Linked DNA regions of Coturnix japonica. The protein of the gene in region 1 binds, or shares a complex with, the protein of each later gene. Links are inferred from orthologs where the notes say so. Each region holds a gene or a part of one and is shown in the gene's direction. Other genes may lie near its edges. The genes, in order: CALCR, RAMP2, RAMP1, RAMP3 and GNB1.

Region 1 (4,244 bases):
ATCTACCCTCTCAACTGCTTCTGAAACTGCCAGTAAAGAAAACATTCCAAGCTTCCAGATCTTTAAAGGTAATGGCCTTAAGTTGCACCAGGGGAGATTCAGGCTGGATATGAGGAAAAAGTTCTTAGAAGGAGTGGTGAGGCATTGGCACAGGCTGCCCTGTGAGGTGGTGGAGTTACCGTCCCCGGAGGTGATCAAGAAACACGTGGATGTGGGACTGAGAGCCATGGTGAGGATGGCTTGGTGGTTGGACTAGGTGAACTTAGTGGTCTTTTCTTAATGATTCCATAATTCTGTGATCTCCAGCACTTAGCATGGAGCTGATCTTGCTGGGTGGCAATGGGCCCTCAGCAGTGCTGTGCATCAGGCTCTGGGCACAGTGCAGCCCATGGAAGTGGGGAGCGATGGGGGGTTGTAGAGTCTCCTTCTCTGGAGATACTCAAGACCCACCTGGACGCCTACCTGTGTGACCTGGTGTAGGGAACCTGCTTTGGCAGGGGGGTTGGACTCGATGATCTCTGGAGGTCCCTTCCAACCCCTATGATTCTGTGAAATCTCCACCAGGTCCCTGCTTCTGCCAGAGATCTGCCAGCAGCAAAGTAAGCACGACAATGTGAGAGCTCGCGTCCCATAGACTCTCGCTATTTCTTTAAGAGAAAGAGCAAAGCCTACAGCGAAGGCTGAAATCTGAAGGGGACGACGGTTGAGTCGCCCTGACTCCCGCTGCCCCCCGGCTCCACCTGCTGGGAGCTGCCCGCTGCGCGTTCGGAGGCAGCGCGGGGTGAGAGCTCTCACCGGCTGAGGATGTGTCAGCCGGGGACGTGAGAGCACCGGGAGCTGGCACAGCGCGGTGTCGCTCCTCAAGCCCCGACAGTCGCTGCTCCCTCACTGGTACGACTCTGCTCCCTCCGGTGCAGCGTGGGGCGGAGGGGAAGACCTCTTCCCTGGCTCTCCTTGTGCTTAAAAGGCTCGCATAACTTTTGGAACGGGGGTTTGGATGACTGCCGGCACCGACTGCAGTTTCCCTCACGGCAGCCGGGACCCCGCTCCCTCAGCCCACGCTCCTCTCCCCTCGGCCCTGCGTCCCCCTGGCTTTTCTCTCCCTAAACGCGAGCTGGGCTCGGAGGAACTTCTCCGGGACGAGGAGGAGGAGGCGGCAGGAGCGCACAGAGCCACGCTCCGCGGAGGAGAGCCCTGAAAGGCACCGCGCCTTCACGGCACGCAGTGCCCAGCAGCAGCGGCTCAGTCACCTCGCCCCCATCTCCACCACCTCCACCAGCACCACGCGGGTGACGGGACTCCACGCTGCCACCCCCGCCTCCTCCGCGGGGCCGCCCCCGCCCCGCCCGCTCGGCGTGGCCGCCCCGCCGGCATCAGGCGGCCGGGAGCCGCGGGGAGGCGGGCGCGGGGGAGGCGCTGCTGCCGCCGGGCTCTCTCCATCCGCCCCGCACCGACGTCGGCGCGAAGCCCTCCCGGCGCCCGGGGGGAGGGAGAGAGGGAGATCGCGTCGCGGGCGAGAGGGGGTGGATGCTCGCAGAGGTGCGGCTCCGCAGGAGGGTCTCGGCTCTGGGCTGAGCCGCAGCGGGACGCGGAGTGTCTGGGTGTCCGAGCTGCGAGGGCCGTCCGGGAGCCGGCAGCCGTGGAGCGAGCAGAGGGCGCCGGGAGAGCGGCCGCAGTAAGTGCCGGTAACTTCGCCGCTCCGTGTGGGCGAGGGGTGGAAGAGAGTCGGGGAGCGAGCCGGGAAGGGAAAGCAAGGCGAACAGTGAAAAGGGAGCGGGCTGAATGGGTCCGAGCTGGGGCTGCCGGCGTGGCGGCTGGGGGACACCTGAGTCCGCAGCAGCGCTGCCCGCTCTGCCCTGCACGGTGTCCGCGCTCCCTCCGTCCCGCAGGGCTCCCGCTGTGATGATAACGGTGTAAAAGCGGCACTGGTCCGTCTCGGAGCGGTGCCGCTGGTGACGGTAGGTTGATGTATGAGGCTATTTACTCTGTGTGTCCAAGCACAATATAAACGCCTGCCAATTTTGTCTTCAAATTGCTGTATTGATTTCATTCTTGCGGGCTTCTTGACAAGGTTAAGGTAGTTGACAGTTCGTAAGGAAAAGAGAAAAACTTCTGGTTTATTTTGGTAACTGAATGTCGTTTGTAGCTGAAATGGTGCACTAAAAAATCATTCATAAAAAGAGAAAATGGGAAGATGCGATCCCCAGACCTCCAATAGGAAAACGTGATCCCTGGACCTTCTGCACTCAGTATTATCAATACCAGATGCCCTCCTGCCACACTGCTGTGCCCACCTGAACCTCAGGGTAACACAGTATTCTCCCTGAGACTACATGCCTCCCCGTTACAGTTACATAGTTGAGAATGAATGAAGTCAGCCATTGCGTTACTGCACGCTTTGTCTTTCCGCCAGCTCAGATTCAAACTGAGATCCTGCTCCTTTCCCCCGGTGCTGGCAGGGCAGTGTTTGGCAGGAGGCCCCATGCCTGCCCCCAGAAGGATCTCTGTGCTGCTTCTCTGCTCTCAGCAGCTGAGGTTGATGACGGAATTTAATTCACCACTCGTACAGTAATTGTGAATTAGGGAAATTAAATACAGGAGAGCAAGTGTTTCCTCTGAATATTTCCAGACAGCTGTCAGCCTTTACCATTAGGTAACCTTTGCTAAGTTGCCTTTGTGGTAACTTACATACAGTGGCTGACATGAAATTGTGCTGGATGAACTAAAACCTTCCTGACAGTGCCACTGTATGCTAACTGTGTAAATCTTGGGTAAATCATGTCACCTTACAGACCAACTCCTAGGGTAGGTTTAGCAATAGGTCTTTATCACTTGAAGAGTTGGTATTAGCCAACTTTGGCTAGAAATTCAAGTGATGGTGTTTAAATTTGACTCTCCACAGCAGCATTTTGAAATCATGGGTGATGGGCACAGGGATCTTAATGTTTAAAAATGGCTACACATAACAAGCTGTTTTGTACTTTCATGAAAAAATAGGCCATTCAGACCTGCCTTACACTCATATCTTTATGGGCATTTTCATCAGAATGGTATATAAGCAAGTTTGACTGCTGCTTGCATATGTACTGTATTATAACACAGGTATTCAGACAGTGTGGAGGCATAGCAAATTATGTTGCTTGTGACAAAGGCATTTACAAATAAACAGCTAATATTTGATTTACTATAGAATTATTGGCTATTAATAAGAGTTCTGTTATTATGGTCTAGTTCTCTATAGCTCATGAGCTTTAAGGAGAGGTGAAGGAACAGAAGCATCCTTTCTAAAAGCCTTCTTGAAATAGTACTGCATAAAATATGTGCAAGAATTAATTTATTAAGCTCACCAAATCCAGCTTAGCAAACCTTTTTCTTTCAGATCTACAAGGAGAAGGCTTTTGAAAACCTTTTGAAAAAACTGAGAATTTTCATCCAAAATGAAGGCGGTCTTGTGTAGAACGTTTTGCTTAAGTGCCTCCCTTCCAATCTACCTCCCGTATCAAAGTGGAATGGGACACTGCTGAAAGTTACCCAGTTAGTGTTGAATGTTAATTAAAAGCTGTTGTCTAACAAGCACTTGATACAACCAAATTCAGATCTTGTCATTTTAATAATGCCGTCGTGACCAAAATAGCTGCCAATAATTTCCATCAGTTTTGTGTAAGCAAACATGGAAGAAGGAAAAGCTTATCATGACTTAGAGCTCCTAAAAAGTCATTGCCCAGAAGAAAGACCGCTCTATATTTCCTTTTATAATGATGTATATGAATACGGGTTTTGGAAAAAATGAGCAATGAAATAATTGAGCTACACTTGCCTGGAAGCTGTGATAGCACGTGCCGTGAGATTTGGTTTTGCAAATGCTCATCTGTTCTACATATCAGTAAGCTCATTTTTATTTATTTTTTTCTGATAATTGGGGTTCAGATCCTAATTGCTGCCATTAGAGTCAATATTAAATCTTCTCTTAATGCTCATACTGGTCTCAACTGAGCCTTCCAGGAGCCATCCTGGTACATGCTGAGCACTTCCAATTCCTGCTGCTTGTGTCAGAGGGGCATCTGGGCAGAGAAAAATTCACTCCCTTCAGAAACTTGTGGTGTAGGTAACAGAGCCAGAGACACCTTGCTGAAGGCCCTGCTGCAGGTCTGGAACATCAGTACTGGCTGCTTAACAAGGGTACACTGAGCAGCCTTAACAAGATTGAGCATTCATGCTTTCGATGTAGGTACCCTCAAATAAGT
Region 2 (4,282 bases), on another chromosome or scaffold:
GCTCCCATGTTTGCCTGAAATCTCTTGAGCTGCCGGAGACGCATATATTCAGACTTGACTTTTCTTTTCCAATACATAATACACTTTGATGTTGGAGGAGTGGCGATTTCCATTTTTCTATGAAAATACAGTAAGAATAAACTCACAGAACGATGAGTTAGAAGTGACCTTAAAGCCCCTCCAGCCTCATCCCCTGCCATGAGCTGGGTGCCCCCACCAGCTCAGGCTGCTCAAGGGCCCCACCCAGCCTGGCCTTGGGCACCTACAGCTCTCTGGGCAGTAGTGCCAGGACCTCACCACCTCTGAGGAGTGAATTGCTTCCTCACATCTGACTTAAGCCTGCCCTCTATAGCTTATGGACAGTCCCCCTTGTCTTGTCGCTGTCCAAGCAGCTCTCCTTCCTGCTTGTAATCTTTCGATTCACAGGGCGCTGGGAGGCCAACATGTCAGGAGCAGTGTTACATCCAGCTCAGAATATCTCATTGCCAGGAGGCTGGGAAGGACATTGCGCAGGCTGTCAGCACAGGACAGCTCCTGGCTGGGAATACACAGTGCGACCTGATGGAGAAGTTGGAGCCGGGGGTTTGGGCATCGGGCATCGCCCTGTGAGCCCAAGGGACGCTTCAGCTCCCATCCAGGAGTCTGAGTCCCCGGCCCGGGCTGTACGTACCCAGCGGGCCGCTCCACTCCACCCACGGGGGTTCCCTGGGCCCCCATCACCGCAGCCTCCAGCCACGAGGGGACACGGGGACCCCCGGTGGCTGCCGGGACGGTGACACTGCGGAGTGTCCGGGACAGGCCTCAGCCGCTGCCCCGCCCGGTGCCCGCTCCCAGGCCTCACCCAACCCCCGGGCGCTGCCCCGTCCATCGGGCCCGGCGCACCCCATACAACAGCCCACGGTCCCACGGGGCCCCACGGGGCCTCAGGGGACTTAGATCTGCCCCCTACGAGCAGCCGCCAGCCCCCACAGGGCACGGCACTACCACGGCACTACCACGGCACTACCACGGCACTACCGCCCCGCTCCATCCCCCACCCCCGCCGACCCCTCGCTCCCTCCCGGGCCCCTCCCGCCGTGCCGGGCCGCCCCCCGCCCCCCGCCGGACCCCAGGCCCCGCCCCGCCCCGCACTCACTCCTCGGCCATCGCGCCGGGGGAGGCCGCGCTCCCCGCGCACTGCGCATGCGCCGCCGTAGCCCCGCCCCTCGCCGCCGCCCCGCCCCGCGCGGTGCAGCCCCGGAGCTGCGGCTCCGACCGGGAAGGGCGGCGCCCCGCACCGGAACCGGCCGCTCGCGGCCCGGCCCCGCCCGGCTCCACTCGGCTCCGCCCGGCCCCGCTCTGCTCGGGGCTGCGGCCGGGCGCTCCCTTCCCCAGCCGCGCTCCCGGCCGGGCCCCTTCCTTCCTTCCTTCCTTCCTTCCTTCCTTCCTTCCTTCCTTCCCCTCCGCCCAGCCGGAAGGAGCGGGGGGAACCCGCGGGTCCCTGTCCGGGCAGTGAGCGGGGCCGTTGGCTGCTCATCCCACAGCTCAGCCCCGGTCCTGGCCGTATCTGCTGCCTTTGAGCCCGTCCTGCTGAGTCGGGCAGAACCTTCCGCCTTCCCTGACATTGGGTTGAGCGCGGGTGGAAGGTGCCGAGATGAGCTCGGTGATACGCCCCGGCACGGGGGGAAGCTGCAGCCGGTGGGAAGATGCTCGTCGGGGCTGCGGCTCCTGCTCCCACTACCGGCAGAACCTGGGGTCTGGGTTGGACCCAGCGCAACCCCCGCAGCCTCACTGCCCACACTGCGCTGAGCCCCAGAGCGCAACGTGGGCAGCTGCAGAGCGAGTCAAAGCAGCAGGCGGGGTCCAGGCTGCGTCTGTGCCCGTTGTGCCATGGGCCGAGGCTGGCAGCAGGGCTCGGGACGGCTGCAGCCCAGCCCAGAACATGGGAAATGCTTCCCCCGCTGCTCAGTCGAGTCCCCCTCACAGCACTGCAGCCAAGGGCTGGGGGGAGCTTGCAAAATGGGGCTGGGGAGCAGTGGGTGCTGGCAGACTGCCCCGGCTGTGCAAGGAGTGGCCGGCTGAGATCACCGGGTGTCACCCTGGCAGAGGCTCCTGCTGCCGGCTGCAGCTCCAGGGCTGTGACAACAAAGTGCAGAATGGGGCTGTGACTTTGTGCCGCAGCCTCGTGGGCTCCCGGTACCGCTGAAGGGCTCCCAAGTGCCAGGAGGGTGGCGGCTGCCTCAGCCTGCACATAGCACGTGCAGTGTGTTGCAGCAGGAATGTGCAGCACAGCAATAGAATCCTTCCAAAGCAGGGAGGGTCCCCATGAACTGCAATTCTCTGCTGTGTGATTTGTGCTCTGTGAGTCCCATGAGTGGATTTTAAAGGGAAAGCTTTGGGCTGGAGCTCAGCCTTTGGCAAGCAGTTAGATGAGCTCGCGTGGCCTGAGCTCCATCCCCGGGTGGGGACCCTGCAGAGCCAGCACCGCGCTGCCCTGAGGTGGGAGCCGAGGTGGCACGGGATGAAGAGGAGCTCTGCAGCCACAGTCCCTCGCCCCATCCTCTCCTCCTGCCTGCTTGAGGCTCGCACACCCGTGGTACCGCCGCCGTCCCTTCCAGCCCCACCCGTGCCCCCGGGGCAGGTGCCACACGGCGCCATGAACACGGGGCTGGGGCCGTAACGACCCCGAGCCTCCAGCAGAACCCTCCGGGGACGTCCTGCTCCACCGTCCACTCCCCCCGCTGCCGGGCTGCCTGCCCTCCACGCAGGAGACGAGGGATTTCACAACCCAGCCCAGACAGGATTAAAGAGAAATACACAAGTAAACAAACAGCGGCCTTGTGAAGCGGCCGTGCTGCGGGAGCCCCTCTGCTGCCCAGGGTGAGGTGTGGGGCGATGCCCGGGGGTCCGACACTTGCTGCACAGCGGTGGGGTCCTGTGGGGAGGGCTGCCTCAGAGCAGCACTAAGTAATCTCATTTTTCACACGTCTCCTGTAGTTCAAACAGCCCCTGTCAGAGGAAAGGAGTTGCTTCCTGTTATTTCCATTGAAATCCTTGTCCCGGTCGCTAGCCCGCAGGCTCCAGCAGGATGGCACCGTATGCGCAGATGGGCTCTGGCTGCCTCTCCCGAGGGCTCCTGCTGCTCTGCGGTAAGTGCTCGGCCCCACAGCACGCGGCTGCACCCCGGTCAAGGCAGGACTTGTGCTGGGTGAGCGGGACACAGTGCTACGGCAGCCATCCAGCACCACCGGGCACTGTGGGCGGCCCCTTCCCCTTGGTGGGCAGCGATGGAGCGTCTGAGGGGACCCGGTCTGGATGGCAGCTGTGCCCTGGGCAGGGAGCGTGCCAGGGCCAGGGGACTGGGCGCTGGGGGCACGTGGGCTGCCCTTGCTGCCACAACTGTGCCAGTGCACAGCCGCTGTGCCGGCCCACAGCACACGGCCAGCCTGCACAGGCCACAGCAGAGTAGCTACCAGGGTGGTGTGCCATGCCCACACCGAGGGTGGAAAACAGACAGGAGTGATCCTGATTCTGGGGTCTGGTGGGGCCTGAGGGGCTGTGCCCCATGCCAGTGAGTTCCACAGACGGGGGGGGGCGGCAGGAGGCTCTGTCTCGTGGCTGTGCTGCGCTGCGGTCAGCACTTCCTCTTCCCGATTGGAAATAGGTGCTCCCTGCCCCAGTGCCAGGCGCTGAGTGCAGCACGGCCCCACGGTGCTGGTGGCCCCCAGTCACCCCGTCACCCTCCATCCCATCACCCCGTCACCCTCCATCCCATCACCCCGTCACCCTCCATCCCATCACCCCGTCACCCTCCATCCCATCACCCCACCGCCTCCCTGGGCCTCCTCGTTCCCATCACTGCTGCAGACCCGTGGCTCCCCCTCCTCAGTGCTCAGCATGTCCCCCTCCTGCAGCACTGCTGGTCCATGAGTTCTGCCGAGCGGGTGCCACGGCCGAGAGCTTTGGGCAGGAGGCAAGAACAACCCCAGCGGCCAGAACAACCCCAGTGACGCGTGTGTTCAACTTTACGGCTGAGATGTTGGGTGAGTGTTGACCCCTTTCCTCATCCCCAAACCCCTCCAAGGCCGCCCCATGGCTGCGCTCAGTGCCCACCCCCACACAGAGGTGATCTACACCAACTTGACACAGCGCTGCTGGGAGTCCTTCGAGCAGCTGATGCAGAACGTGAGCGGTTCCCAGCTGTGCGAGTGGAAGGTCATCAGCAGGTAGGGGGGGACGGGGGCACCGAGCCGGGGGTGGCGGGCAGCCCAGTGAGCTGTGCTTCTCTGCAGGCCGTACAGCT
Region 3 (3,952 bases), on another chromosome or scaffold:
CAACAAGTGATGTCAGCAGCTGTTTATGTTGCTCCTACAGAGATAAAATCGTGGATGCTCTGCTGGAGGTGAGGAAGAACAATAATGGTGTCCTAAGTGGCTTGTCCATCAGTTCTATTATGGAAAGGGCCTCTGTAATCCTAAGGAAACCAACGGCTGTTTGTACAGGGAAAGGCAGTGGCGATCAGTAAGTATTCCAGCCTACAACATAGATGTGAATTAATCTAGCTGCATAGCCTGACAATGAGAGCTCCCTAGGAACCTGTTCCTGCACAATGAGTATGAATCACTACAACAGCAGATTCTAAAGATGAGGTGCTGCTGCAGAACGTCTGTGAGCAGAGCAGCTTGCTGGCTCTGTGCACTCATCAACCTGGGTGCAATGGGGGTTTCACTGTGCGGGTTTTATCGATGAACGTAGTGGAGTAAATTAACAATGTTCTGGCCAAAGGTGACATCTAGTGGCCAGTTCCTGTGCAGCATTTCACAGAGGAACTCCAGGCTCGATTCTGGTTTAAAACCTGACGATTTTTTCTCTTGTGTGATATTTATTCCTGCTGTAGGTACTGAACAGAATAAGTTTGCTTGTCCCTTTGCATTTTAGCGTAATAACTTTTTGGTACGCAGTTCTCAGGGCTAGGAAACCTCGCTCCTGCATGCAAACTTCTGCCCTCCATAGTAAAAGCAATACAGCCTCTAGTGGTGCTCTGGGATGCTGACAACGCCGCTGTTTTGTTTCGCCTTACACGTGTTCAGGCAAAACTTAATCTGCTTTTCCTTTATCTTCCTTTCTGCGTAGATGATGTAATGAAGAACCGACCACTTCACATGACAGATTTTTGCAGTCCAGCTCGCTCCGGGATTGTTCTGTCCTTCTTGTTTGTTTGATTTCGTGACAACTCGCTTAGCATTGCTGTTTGGTTTGCAGTTCTGTTTGACCGAACATAGCCCCAAGTTCTTTTCAGCTTTTTGTGCAGACAGATATTGAGTAATTCTTCCCAGTTTGGTTGTTCTGTGTAGTTCCCCCTGTTTCTTATGAGGTTTTAAGGCTCCCATTTTAGCACGTTGAGACTTATAGCAGCAGGACTTCTTTCTGCTGAAGCACACAAGCCCCGGCTCCCGGTGCCGCTCTGTGTCAGGCACGGTGATAGCTGCCATGCTAACAAACAGCCGGCACGCTTACGTGCTTTCCAGATAACAGTTCCAAATAGTGGGCAGAAATGTCAAGTATCCTTTTCACGCAAGGCAGGGGAGGGAGAGGCAGCAAGGGCCGGCTTGCAGATCGCACGGCGCTGGCAGTGCGCTTACATAAGCCCCGTGCTGCAGCGGCTGCTCTGAGCAGAGCCTTGCCCAGGAGGGCTGGGTCTAGAAGCTTTTCTTTTGGGTCCTATAGCACTGTGCAGGGGAAAGCCTCTCCCACACAGACCCTCCCCGAGGTCTGCTTTGGGTTGATACGGGAGCACCCAGCCTTTTGTTTGCCCGTGGAGCTGCTCCCGTGGTTTTACATCCTCTTCTGGCGACGGAAGGAGAGGCAGCTGGGTGTGTGCCTGCTGTGGGGCTGAGGGAAGAAGCCAGCACTGATTGTCACTGGCGGGCGTGTGCTGTCATACCACTCATTGCTGTCCATCTCTGTCCCTTGGCTGTACTTTGCTCCTGGCTGCCCGTGCTGCCGAAAGCAGCCTTACCGTGAATAAAGGTTGAGATTCCTTCTGCCCAGAGTTGTGCTGTCGTTTTGCTATTTCCACCCCTCACTATTTGCTCTCCCCTCGCCGTGGTGGCAAACGCATCCCAAGCCCCGGTGCTGCGCTGCCAGGCGCTGCTGCTGCTTTATCCCGAAGCTGCGGGTCCAGCCTCCGCTTTGGTTTCCTCCCTGCCCGCACCCAGCTGAGCGCTTCGCCCTACCGCATCCCTAACAGCACACACCGCCCTCCGTGCTCCCTAGTTGTGCAACGAGATGGGCACGGTGCTTTACGGAGGGAGGCGTTCTGCTGCGACGAGAAAACGGGGATGTCCGTAACGCAGAGCGCTGCCGATTCCCGCAGGTGGAGCTGTGCGAACTCGCTTGATTTCTGTTAACACGAAACAAGCACCAAGGACGGGCACGATCGCGCCGCAGCTCCAGGCGAGGCGGCAGCCGGGCCCCTTGCTGCTGGCCATGGCACTGCTGCCCCGCCGCTTCCTCTGCTTCGTGCTGGGTGAGTTGGGCTGCCCCGGCATCCAGGGGGGAGAGGGGGACCCTGAGAGAGGCTCCTGAACGCGGGCTGTGCGGGCTCTGCCCGCTCCGCGTTGGCTGCGGGGGGAACGGGAAGGAGCGGCCGTTCCCAAGTGCTGAGGAGCGATGGGAGTTGGGCTCTGTGTGTGCTGCCGGCGATGCGGTCCGACACGGTCCTCTGTGCGCGGTGGGATGCACTGAAGAGCGCTCACGTCAGAAGACATCCCCTGCCTTTCGCTTCCAGTGCAGAAATTAACGACAGGGAAACCGCTCTAGGAGGGGTCTCTCCGTTTTTTTTCTCCGTTTTGCCATTTCTTAACCAGGCGAGAGGAGAGGAGCCAGCCAGAAGTGCTCCTTCTGGCCAATGCTTCTGAGCTGGGGATGGATTTGCAGGTGGGAGACCGCCGGTCACTTTGGGAACTCCTGCATCAGCCATCTGCTTTCACAAGGCGTGAGGTCTCCTCGATGTTGGTAGGGTTTCGTGCGCAACAGGTAGAGGATTGGCTTATAACCCGAGTATACTCATTAAAAACCTTACCACTGTGCTTTGGTACTTTGTGTGAGAAGCATATTTAGGATTGCTTAAAAAAGAAGCCGCACAGTGCCATGCAGCTGCTTTTGCGTGACACTGAAGTGCTCCTTGAGGAAACATAGCCTTGTTCTTTCCCCGTTTGCACTTTAGTGCAGGTTTTCTCCTGGTACCCTGCTGAATAATGCATGGGGCTGCACTGGGCTCATCCCAGCGCTGTCATTAACTGCACTGCTCTGTAGCTGCAGCTCGTTCAGGGGGAGTTAGGGCAGGCAAAGTGCACTCTGCTCTGCTAGGTGGGACTGTGAGGTACCACTGCCAGCACACAGCAGCTCCTGCTGCTGTAAGATTTCTGTCTGCAGTCCCTTTCCCTTCTCTAGGGTCACAAATGTAAGCCGGCTTCTGGGACATGACCCCACGGGGAGCTCGAGGCAGTGTCCCTCGTGATGGGATCCCTGCTGCTTTCCCCTTCCAGGGGTGGAATTCCCCCACCTTATTCCTGTGGTCACTCGCATTGTTCCCATCTGTGCAGAGCCCTAAACCCAATCTTTGCTGTTCTTTAACTGGTGAAACATCCAGGTGGAAGGAAGTCATGGCCAGGAGGCTTTCCTGGTTTGGCTGCAGGACTTCTGCTCGTTCTTTTACTGCACCTTCTGCCACGTGGTTTGGGTTCAGGGGCTTTGGAAATAACAGAGCGGGAGCTGGTGGTACTCCAGGCTGCTCTTTTCCAGTTCCAGCACTCACAGCAGGACGTCTGCCTCAGTGTAAGCCACTTAGCTGTGATAGATGGCAGCTAATCCTGGCGCTGAGTTGGGGATGCATTTCTTTCGCTGTGTCCTTTTGCAGGCTTTTATTTTAAAGTATGTCCTGCTCTAGTTGGGTGAAGAAAAAAAAAGAAGAAAGATTAAAAGAAAAAAAGCCTGTTTGTTCCTTCCTGCTCCATGTCTGTGCACAGATGTGGCTACACTGGGGGTGACCGCTGAGACAGTGGAGTGGTGAATGCTGAGGTCGCTGATGCTTCTGATGAAGCAGGTGTGGATTTTCTTTTTCAGAAAGGAAAGATCAAACAAGCTGTGCTAACAGATGTGCCGGCAGAGTATGAGTGCCGAGGCAGACACAGAGAGCTCAGCTCTCAGAGTGCAGGGGCTTTGCTGAGCCCTGGCTGCCGTGCCAGTGCAGCTCCTCGTGCTGAGCTGTGGTCTCATGGTGCA
Region 4 (3,932 bases), about 22 Mb from region 1:
TCTTTTTGAAGTTTAGTTTCACAGTGTACTGTTACAATGATGTCTGTGATTTAATGTTTGACTGAAAGATAGTTACTGAGGTGAATTGTGGCTTTTTATTCTAGAGCAGTACAAATACTTCTAGCTTAGAAAAGGCTTCTTTAGCAGGTTCTCAGCCTGATGTTTCTTTGCAGAGATCCTTATTTCCCAGAGAGAGAAAGAACTCAAGTTCACAGCATTTAAGTATTTATAAAAATGAGGGTCTTACCATTCTCCCTGTGGGCAGGGCCAGACAGAGATGAAACAACACAAAAATAAATCAAGCATCTTTATGGAACTTGTGGCTGCTCTGTTCTGGGTATTAAGTTAGATTTCTGCACATGTTCAGCTCTGGATATTAGTGAGTTACTGTGTTGGTGCTGCAAGTGAGCTAGCACATGTAGCTCTCCAGACCTTCATGCCTTCAACCCACTGCTGGGTTGCAGAGGCAGGAGGTAGGGGCTGCTTCAACTGGAGCAGGTGAAGGGTTCCATTCTCCCCTCTTGGATGCTGGTAGCATGCATGTTTTCTGTGGGTGTGAGAGAGTGAAGCACCCCTTTTAGTTCAGTTTCTTGGGAGTGGTATCATGTTGCTTGCTTGCTGTGGCTTTTGGGGGGCCTGCTGGCATGGTTGCATGTGCATGTGGGCGTGCATATTGATGTATGTGCATAGGTGCACACATGAACCATACAGCTGCACACCCGTATGTATGGATGTACAAATGCTTGCAAATGGGTGCGCACATGCATGCACATGGATGTATATTCACTCACAGAATCACAGAATTGTAGGGGTTGGAAGGGACCTCTAGAGATCATCCGAGTCCAACCCCCCTGCCAAAGCAGGCTCCCTACACATACACTCATTCATGTGTATATGCATGTGTTCACATGGATGCATGCGTATGGATTTGCACAGGCATATGCATGGCTGTGCACATGAATGCACACACATGCACCCACATTCATGGACACAGGCACACTCCTGTACACCTGTCTGTGCAGTGTCGTACATAACCGCACACAAATGCACCCGCCCGCTACTCATGCTCACGGAAAGCGCACGCTCCTGGCGCACCCCCACCCGCATCCCCCGCTCGGATCCTCGCAGCCCGCCCTGCCCCGCCCCGGGAGCACCCCGAGGGCGGAGACGCTGCGCGCTCCCTCACCCGCCTCGCCGCCGCCCGGGGCCGCCCGCCGGGGCGTGAAGGAGAGCCTGCCCTGTGGGAGGGAGTGAGACGGCCGTGGCATTGCGCGGCTACGGATCATCACCCCATGTGGGCTCCGTCCTTCGCGGCCCCATCCGCGCTGGGATGGAGGCGTCCGTCCGTTGCCGGCGGCACCTTCCCGTCCTGCTGCTTTGGGGTAAGCGGGACGCCGGGCCAGGGCGAGGCGGGGTAGTGGGTAGCAGCTTGTCGTCCCTAGGCTTTCCGCCCTCGCAGGCGCGGGGCTGAGCGGCTGCAGGGCGGCTGCACTGCGGGTACGGCGCGGCTTCTGCCCCCGAGCAGCATCTCGCAGGGAGATCTGTTCGCTGCAGTACGGTATGGTATGTGCATCCCTCCCGAAACTGAACTGAGCAGCACTGCTTGCCGTTCTAGCTGGGAGCCCCAGTCCGGTGTCTGTGAAGCAGTTCCGAGTGCGTGAGAGGGGAAAATTTTCACTGGTAAAGGAAGGGTTATTTTGTGTTAGAGTGGCTGGGTTGCTCACGAGCAGTGGTAAAAGTGCAGATATCTTTCAGACCTTGCACTTAAGGAGAGATCAGCTCTATTTCCAGAACTACTTGAGTGGCTTGTTTATTTATTTATTTAATTATTCATCATCAGGTAGGTTGTCTTAGGACTCTGAGATACAGTATGTTGTGGTCAGTCAGAAGTTTGTGTCAGATGACAGCTCTGAACTTCACTCCACAGTAACCTCCAAGATGCAGCTAATGTGTCATGGATAGGAGAAAAGAAAATCAGCCTTGTAGATTTAGACTGAGTACTACTTAAACTTTGTTTGCTAGCTTCTTACTCTTTCCAAAATGTAAAGCTGGTAAACACTGGAAATACCAGTAACTATATTGACTGTTACACTGACAGTGTTAGGTAATGTTGTCTTGATCTCCCTGTCACAAGAATGTAATGCCAAATAAATAGAGTTTGGAATTCTCCATGTCTTGAGGACTGCTAAAGCCTTACCTTGATCATTTGGATTTTTTTTCCTTTTCCAGCTGTTGAGGAATAATAATAGTAAAAAAAGGCTAACACCTACCTTGGCACATGATAATTTGTGCAACCTTGAGCTTAGTGAATCAACCAGTAATTTTTCTGAGTGGGAAATCCTCCTGATGTTACTGTGACTCTTGCAATGTGAAATTACAGAAGATTTTGGAGAGCGTGTAATGAGGAGCAATGTTGCTGTGGTTCTGAAAACTAGCAGTTATTTTTCACCAGAAAGGAACAGGTAAATCAATTGTGCCAGGCAGTTTTTGACTGTGCTTGTTGCTTGCCTAATAGCACTAACTAAATGGTTTTAAGGATATCTGATGACTGATAATGTGTTACTGTTGCTATAAGTTAGGAAGGATAGATATATTCAAAAACTAGACTAAATCATAGACATTTCCTGGTAGAAAAGCCATTTGGGAGCCCTGAAAATTTTGAGACATGAAATCTTGTGTGTGTATTTCTCCCTTTTTTCTAATGGCTTCTTTTGATTAACCAGAGAGCCATAAACTCTCTGTAAGCTGAAGAGTTGTCCAAGACTGGTAAGGAGTATCTCAAGTCAACACTAGTCAATCAACATCACTTTGTGGATAGTTTTACATTTGACAGTGTTTCTTGGGAATGTTTTCCTTCGAATGGGAGGGCCCAGGAGTGTCTGTTGGCTGAAAACTTGTCCTGTGAGCAAAGGATTCCAGCTTGATACGGAAGACTGGGAAATGATACCACTGTACCCTGTGAAGATGATACAAGCTGACGTCTCCCTGCTTCCTCTTATCTCCTGATTTAAATTTACAAAGCATGGAAGACAGGAGCAAAGGAGTTCCTGCTGTGATCCTGAAGCCAGAAGCTGTCACTCTCTTGAGCAGGCTCGACCACTTTGGACTATAAGTAAGAGGTTGTACTGTTGTCCTACTTATCAGCTGAACAACACAACCTCCTGTGAACTACCACTACTAAAGATCAGAATCTGACACCAAGACGTCATTGGTTTGAAGAGTGGTGAACCTCTTTGCTTCGCAGTTTGTACATCTGTCCATCTGTGTCACTTTCCCCATTTTCTATCTTTTATCTTTACAATCTTTTGTTCCTTGTAGTAGCCGTTGCCTAATGTTTTCTTACCTATAATGCTCTTTTTTTTTTTTCCCTCTCTGAGTATTAGTTATCGTTAAGAAAGCTCTCAGTAATAAATTCGTGTATATTTTTCCTCCAAGTCTGGGATAGCTCCATTGCGGTAGTGACCCCTGCTGACTATGGGAGACGCGACACGTGAAATAGATTTACCTCTTGAAACCTGCGGAGTGGGACAGGAGTCCTCAGTGTTAGCGCTCTCTGAATGCTATAGGAAGCTTGTCTTGTAAGGGACTGGAACCTCACTTCTGCATACTCACACCACTGCCTTCTGCCTGTCTTTCTGTTTATGGCTTTTAAAATATTATCATTACGTAGAACCATCTGTTGTACTGTCCCTCTTTGCAAAGATGGCAAAAAGGCAGTTGTGTGTGTTTCCTGGAAGCACAGAAATTATAGAAGTTGGATTTGCTGTGACCTGTATGCACATCTGTTGGGATGAAGGAATCTGTGAGCTGAGGCAGCTGACACATAGGCACGTAACTGATACTGTTCCCATATGAAGTGTAGATGCTTAGAAGTTATCTACCAACTGTAGGGTAGGATCTAAGCAACTCAGAAGTAGTGATGCATCTACAAT
Region 5 (4,263 bases), on another chromosome or scaffold:
TAGCCACAGTCTCAAGAACATTTCTGTACATAAAACCTGTGGGAGCTCTGGTATTCAGGTTGTAAGGAGCTAATTCCTGGCCACAATGCACACGCATGTGTATTTTTTTTGTGGGGATGGATTAGAAGTTATATTTCTGTGGTGACAGAATAGCATCAGTTTGGGGGTCTGGTTGGAGAGTCCTTTATTCTAATTTCTCAGGACAAAGAATTAAAGCCTTTGCTCAGCACTTGGCATATTTAAGGACAAGCATTAGATTATCATAAAACAAAGGCTTAACCACACCGGGATTGAACAGTTATTCCTAACAGACACCTGGAATGATAGCTCACCCACTTCCCTACAGTTTAATGGACAAACCTCTTGTTAATTACAGGTAATCACACCTGCCTTCCCAAAAAACATGATAGCAAGTAGCAGTTCAAATCTGCTCCTGTAGCAAGGCATCTCCTCACTGCCTGACTTAACAAAGTATAAGCAAATGGTGGAGGGGGGAAGGGAGGGAAAGGGATATAGATGTGCTGATAGGAAAAAGATATGATGCAATTGTGTACTTACTTTCCATCAATAAGTAATGATGTTTTAATACGTGAGTGCTGCTGTGATCCCATCTTGTGAACCTCTCTCCTGATTCAGCTGGGGGAAGTCTGCTCTGTGAAACAGAAATTGGATTTTTTTGGGGTTTTTTTGTGTTTTTTGTCTTGCTCTTTTCTGCAATGCCTTACAGAGATGAGCGTTTGTGGGGAGAATATGAAAACAGTGATAAAATGGGGGAAAAAAACCCCAAACCCTGAGAATTCTGGCTGTGCAAAAACCTTTGTGATACGAATTCATAAATAATAATAAATAAAAAACAGGAAGTTGTGAGCTGTGTTGTACCACAGCCTGAAATCTGTGAGGATAATACTGTGACACAACAGGGGTTCGTTTCTTTCCAAGGCCTCGAGCCCCATCCCCTACCATTACACCTAGCAGCCGCCAATTCTTACATTTAATGCTCTTTAACCGAAGTAAAACGGTGTGTGCTGCTCCTCCAAACCTCCCTTTGTCCGTTGAAAAAGCAAAAACAGCGCTGTTGATTGTTCTTTTGCTCCGTTTTCACACGCCCCGTTTAACTCTATGAGGGGACGCTGTGAGGGGACGCTGTGGGCGCGGCAGCATGGCGCGGCGGGGCAGAAAGCGAAACCCGCCCGCGCCCTTTGTTCCTGCTACGGGGAGGAACCAGCGGGAGGAGGCGGCGATGGTTCGAATCTCCCCTTCCTGTCAGCTCAGCCTTCCTCACCGACTGAGTTTGACTGACTGAGCAGCGGCTGCCGCCTTCGAAGCAGCGAGGCCCGAGGCGCAGCTCAACGCCGTCGGTGCCGGCGCCACCGCCCGTAGGGGAACGGAGCGGGGCGGAGCCGGGGGCCGGCTGCGGGGCGGAGCGGGGAGCCGAGCCGAGCCGGGGTTTCCCGGCCGGGCAGTCACGGGCGGGGCGGAGGGGGGGGGAGGTTAACCGCGCCCAGGCTCTTGCTTCCCGATGGCTGCGGGGAGCTGAGCGGGGTCCGAGTGTACGAGGAGGAGCCGAGACCCGGTGGTACCCCCGCCCCGCTCCGTCGCTCCTTCCGTGTCTACGCCCCGGCCCGCAGCCGTTCTGCCTCAGGAGCGCAGCGCGGGCGGCTTCCCCCCTCTCCCCTCCGCCGCCGCCCCTTCCCCTCCTCAGGCCGGCGGGGACGCGGGCAGGAGCCGCGGGCGACGGCTGGAGCGGCCCTGTGGATGAACAGCGGCCGGAAGGGCAGGTAACCGTGTGAAGGGACGCAGGGTGGCGGGCGGGGCGGCCATATAGAATCCTTTGGCGTTCCTATCTCCCCGCAGGGAGTCGAGCCTCCTCGTCGAGCCCCCCGTCCTCAGCGCGGCCCCACCCTGAGGCCATCTTCCCTCAGCGCTCTCCTCCATCCCTGGTTCCTTCTTCCTCTGCGTGGCTGCGCCCTTCCACCCCGCTCCCCTCCCCCCGTTCTTCCCCATTGCTGCCGCACTTCTCTTTTCCCTCCTTCCTCCCTTTTTTTTGTCGTTTTTTCGCCTTTCCTCGCCCATCTTCTCCGTCTCCTCAGCCCTGGGCGGGAAGGGCAGCTCGGCGCCCTCAGCATGGCGGGGTGGAAGGACCCCCCCTTCCCCCGCTTTCCCCCATCGCCGTTCGAGCCTCCCCTAAAAAAGAAGCGTGTTTAGAGCCGGGAGAGGAGGAGGAGGTGGAAAAAAAGGTGGGGGTGGCACCGCTGCTCTCCCGAAGGCGAAAAAAAAGAGAGATTGGGGGGGGGGTGGGTTGGATTTTTGTGGGGTTCCATTTTTAATGATCCTTAAGGGTTGGGGGGGTGAGGACGGTGTGAGTTTCCAGAGGGATCGAAGCGACGGGAGGAGGAACGTTGGGAAGAGAGAGTGAAGGAAAAGAAAGGAGCTGTGGTGTGGCTGCTGTAATGGTGGAAAGCTGACGGAGAGAGAGGAGGGTGAGGCACATGCGGGGTGAGACGGCTCCAGCCCTGCGTGTGGGGTCCTGGGGGGGGGGAACGAAGGGAGGGGGACGGGCAGAAAACGTTTTGTTCCCGTTAAAATGGGAGCCAGGATGCGTTTTGTTGGCACATCCTCGTTCCCCCCATCGCTCTGCATATCGCTGTGCTTGTAGCAGCCGTCAGGAAGATCATGGAGGGTGTTTCCTGCAAGAGGAAAAAGGAGCTTTTTTTCTCCTTGAAGATGTTAATACCGCCTCTGCTCCTGCTTTATTATCGATGGTTTAAAATCTGGTTTATTTCGTCTCCTTTTTAACCCGTGGATTGGGGGTTTTAAATGGGAGGGTTGTTATTTCGTGCTGTGAATTACATTAAAGGGGGAAAAAAAAGAGCCTTTTAATTAAAGAAATAACCCAGCAAGAAATCCGAACGATCTAAAAGATGTCAATTTATTATTCCCGAGGGCGATCTGAAATCTTAACAAACGTGATGTTTCATTATTATTCTTTAGCCATAGGTGGGACTGCTTTAAAATAAGGCATTCTTATGCCACGTTATTATGTATTGTCCCCACAGCAGAAAATAGGAGGAAAAGGGATTGAATGTGAGGGGTCCTGGGGATGGCTCTGGGGAATTGATGCCTCAGCTCGGAGATGGAAAAGCGAAAAATTCAAGGTTTTGCTGCCCCTAATCGTGAGACTTAGCCCTTATTTGAAGCTGATCTGGCAGCCACAAGGATGTGTGCATGGAGACAAAACGCTGCCGATGTGTGTGAAATGCATTGCAGAAAACGCAGCCTCTCTTCAGCTCTCAATTGGTTCGAAATGTGACATCTTAAAGGACTTCTCCCCCCCCCCCCCCTTTGTGCTTTAGGAGAGGAGAAAGAGAAGGGACGATAATAGTGTGGTTGTTTTGGTGGCTGCCGATTAAACCAGGGTGTGTGTTTGATTTTCTTTTCGCTGGGAATGAATGGATCTTTCTGTGCCTGGGCCCAGTAGCTGCAACAAGATGGCGTTTGCAGCAAGGCAGCTCTCATTTTTCAACTCCTCCTCACCACAGCTTGGCCAAACTCGATCTTATTTCGTAATTGTATTTAGATTTACTTTCTCGTTGGGTTTGCTTGCTTCTTTTTTTGGGGGTTAAGAGGGGCAGGAGGAGCGTTTGGGAGATTATTGCAAGAAATCGGTGGGTTTTTGTTTTATTCTTTTTTTTTTTTACGTTTTTTTGTGAGCCTTTCCAGATAGGAACTGGGTGGGAGGAGTAAATAGTTTTAGTGTAACATTCACATCGGCCGTTCCTGGACAAAGAGGTGACACAATTTTGAGGTTTTTATTGTGTTTTTTGTGTATTTTTTTTAACCTTGCAGTTCCTGCTTAATACCATCAAAATGTTCTTTGTTTTTCTTAAGCCTGTTGCTGGAAAAAAATGGTATTTTTAACCTAGAAGACAGGTATGCAAAGGCTTTCCTGCCTTTGTGCTGCTGGTTCCTGCTGCTCAGGTAACAGCCAGGTCTCCTGCAGGCGGTTCCCTCCATGGAACATCGAAATCTCCCATCGAAATCTCCCATCTCACTCAGTGCTTGTGGTGGGCGGAGGCTTTTTAGGCTTCTTTTGGCCCCAAATTGTTACCATCCTTCTGTATTTTTATGGGTATGAGTAAGAAAGGCTTTAGGGATATTAAAACAGTTCTGTGTCTCTGTGATACTGTAAGATAATATGGAGATTTATGATATTATAGCTTTGAATTTATTTTTTTTAAGGACCTTGGGTTGATAATTTTGGTG

The links.
Region 2: the proteins of CALCR (region 1) and RAMP2 are in contact, whole or in part, in a cryo-EM structure (PDB 7TYX), measured with the Homo sapiens proteins. The link is inferred for Coturnix japonica from reciprocal best matches to the Homo sapiens genes CALCR and RAMP2. Residues at the interface, in NP_001158210.1 of Homo sapiens: Arg45, Lys46, Met48, Met49, Asp50, Gln52, Tyr53, Lys54, Tyr56, Asp57, Met59, Gln60, Trp76, Gly78, Arg126, Phe235, Leu238, Ile242, Thr246, Val250, Glu255, Lys256, Gln257, Arg258, Trp261, Tyr262, Leu264, Leu265, Phe269, Pro273; in NP_005845.2 of Homo sapiens: Trp86, Tyr93, Ser94, Arg97, Asp98, Glu101, Leu109, Pro112, Glu117, Ile120, Phe121, His124, Phe128, Cys131, Pro136, Phe138, Ser139, Asp140, Pro141, Leu146, Met149, Ile150, Pro153, Ile154, Leu156, Ile157, Leu160, Ile161, Leu163, Val164.
Region 3: the proteins of CALCR (region 1) and RAMP1 are in contact, whole or in part, in a cryo-EM structure (PDB 9AUC), measured with the Homo sapiens proteins. The link is inferred for Coturnix japonica from reciprocal best matches to the Homo sapiens genes CALCR and RAMP1. Residues at the interface, in NP_001158210.1 of Homo sapiens: Arg45, Lys46, Met49, Asp50, Gln52, Tyr53, Tyr56, Asp57, Met59, Gln60, Gln61, Thr75, Trp76, Asp77, Gly78, Asn124, Arg126, Phe235, Leu238, Ile242, Thr246, Val250, Ala251, Gln257, Arg258, Trp261, Tyr262, Leu265, Phe269, Ile276; in NP_005846.1 of Homo sapiens: Trp59, Ile63, Tyr66, Arg67, Ala70, Asp71, Phe83, Trp84, Pro85, Val89, Asp90, Phe93, Leu94, His97, Gly98, Phe101, Ser103, Arg109, Ala110, Val111, Arg112, Asp113, Pro114, Ile118, Leu119, Phe122, Ile123, Pro126, Ile127, Val129.
Region 4: the proteins of CALCR (region 1) and RAMP3 are in contact, whole or in part, in a cryo-EM structure (PDB 8F0K), measured with the Homo sapiens proteins. The link is inferred for Coturnix japonica from reciprocal best matches to the Homo sapiens genes CALCR and RAMP3. Residues at the interface, in NP_001158210.1 of Homo sapiens: Arg45, Lys46, Met49, Asp50, Gln52, Tyr53, Lys54, Tyr56, Asp57, Met59, Gln60, Arg74, Thr75, Trp76, Asp77, Gly78, Asn124, Arg126, Phe235, Leu238, Ile242, Thr246, Gln257, Arg258, Trp261, Tyr262, Leu264, Leu265, Phe269, Ile276; in NP_005847.1 of Homo sapiens: Cys57, Leu59, Ile63, Tyr66, Glu67, Thr70, Tyr83, Trp84, Pro85, Gln90, Ile93, Thr94, His97, Arg98, Phe101, Ser102, Cys104, Val106, His110, Leu111, Glu112, Asp113, Pro114, Val118, Leu119, Leu122, Ile123, Pro126, Val127, Leu129.
Region 5: the proteins of CALCR (region 1) and GNB1 are in contact, whole or in part, in a cryo-EM structure (PDB 8F0K), measured with the Homo sapiens proteins. The link is inferred for Coturnix japonica from reciprocal best matches to the Homo sapiens genes CALCR and GNB1. Residues at the interface, in NP_001158210.1 of Homo sapiens: Arg174, Ser175, Arg404, Gln408; in NP_001269468.1 of Homo sapiens: Thr47, Arg52, Phe292, Ala309, Gly310, His311, Asp312, Trp339.

Annotation. Positions count from the first base shown.
Region 1 is NC_029517.1:21,156,664-21,160,907, reverse strand, and holds the start of CALCR (calcitonin receptor), read left to right. Parts: upstream 1-1,439; 5' UTR 1,440-1,675; intron 1,676-4,244. UniProt on the Homo sapiens protein: G protein-coupled receptor activated by ligand peptides amylin (IAPP), calcitonin (CT/CALCA) and calcitonin gene-related peptide type 1 (CGRP1/CALCA).
Region 2 is NC_029542.1:4,631,618-4,635,899, forward strand, and holds the start of RAMP2 (receptor activity-modifying protein 2), read left to right. Parts: upstream 1-1,477; 5' UTR 1,478-2,859; intron 2,860-2,916; exon of another isoform or gene 2,917-2,976; 5' UTR 2,977-3,067; coding exon 3,068-3,128; intron 3,129-3,893; coding exon 3,894-4,022; intron 4,023-4,102; coding exon 4,103-4,205; intron 4,206-4,271; coding exon 4,272-4,282. Other genes in the region: histone-lysine N-methyltransferase EZH1, read right to left, coding at 1-117, 671-717. UniProt on the Homo sapiens protein: Accessory protein that interacts with and modulates the function of G-protein coupled receptors including calcitonin gene-related peptide type 1 receptor (CALCRL) and calcitonin receptor (CALCR). Required for the transport of CALCRL to the plasma membrane.
Region 3 is NC_029522.1:8,560,586-8,564,537, reverse strand, and holds the start of RAMP1 (receptor activity-modifying protein 1), read left to right. Parts: upstream 1-1,151; 5' UTR 1,152-2,155; coding exon 2,156-2,195; intron 2,196-3,952. Other genes in the region: RNA-binding protein 44-like, read left to right, coding at 41-187, 800-803. UniProt on the Homo sapiens protein: Accessory protein that interacts with and modulates the function of G-protein coupled receptors including calcitonin gene-related peptide type 1 receptor (CALCRL) and calcitonin receptor (CALCR). Required for the transport of CALCRL to the plasma membrane.
Region 4 is NC_029517.1:42,832,576-42,836,507, reverse strand, and holds the start of RAMP3 (receptor activity-modifying protein 3), read left to right. Parts: upstream 1-1,128; 5' UTR 1,129-1,330; coding exon 1,331-1,382; intron 1,383-3,932. UniProt on the Homo sapiens protein: Accessory protein that interacts with and modulates the function of G-protein coupled receptors including calcitonin gene-related peptide type 1 receptor (CALCRL), calcitonin receptor (CALCR) and G-protein coupled estrogen receptor 1 (GPER1).
Region 5 is NC_029536.1:1,628,878-1,633,140, forward strand, and holds the start of GNB1 (guanine nucleotide-binding protein G(I)/G(S)/G(T) subunit beta-1), read left to right. Parts: upstream 1-1,461; 5' UTR 1,462-1,778; intron 1,779-2,310; exon of another isoform or gene 2,311-2,480; intron 2,481-4,263. UniProt on the Homo sapiens protein: Guanine nucleotide-binding proteins (G proteins) are involved as a modulator or transducer in various transmembrane signaling systems.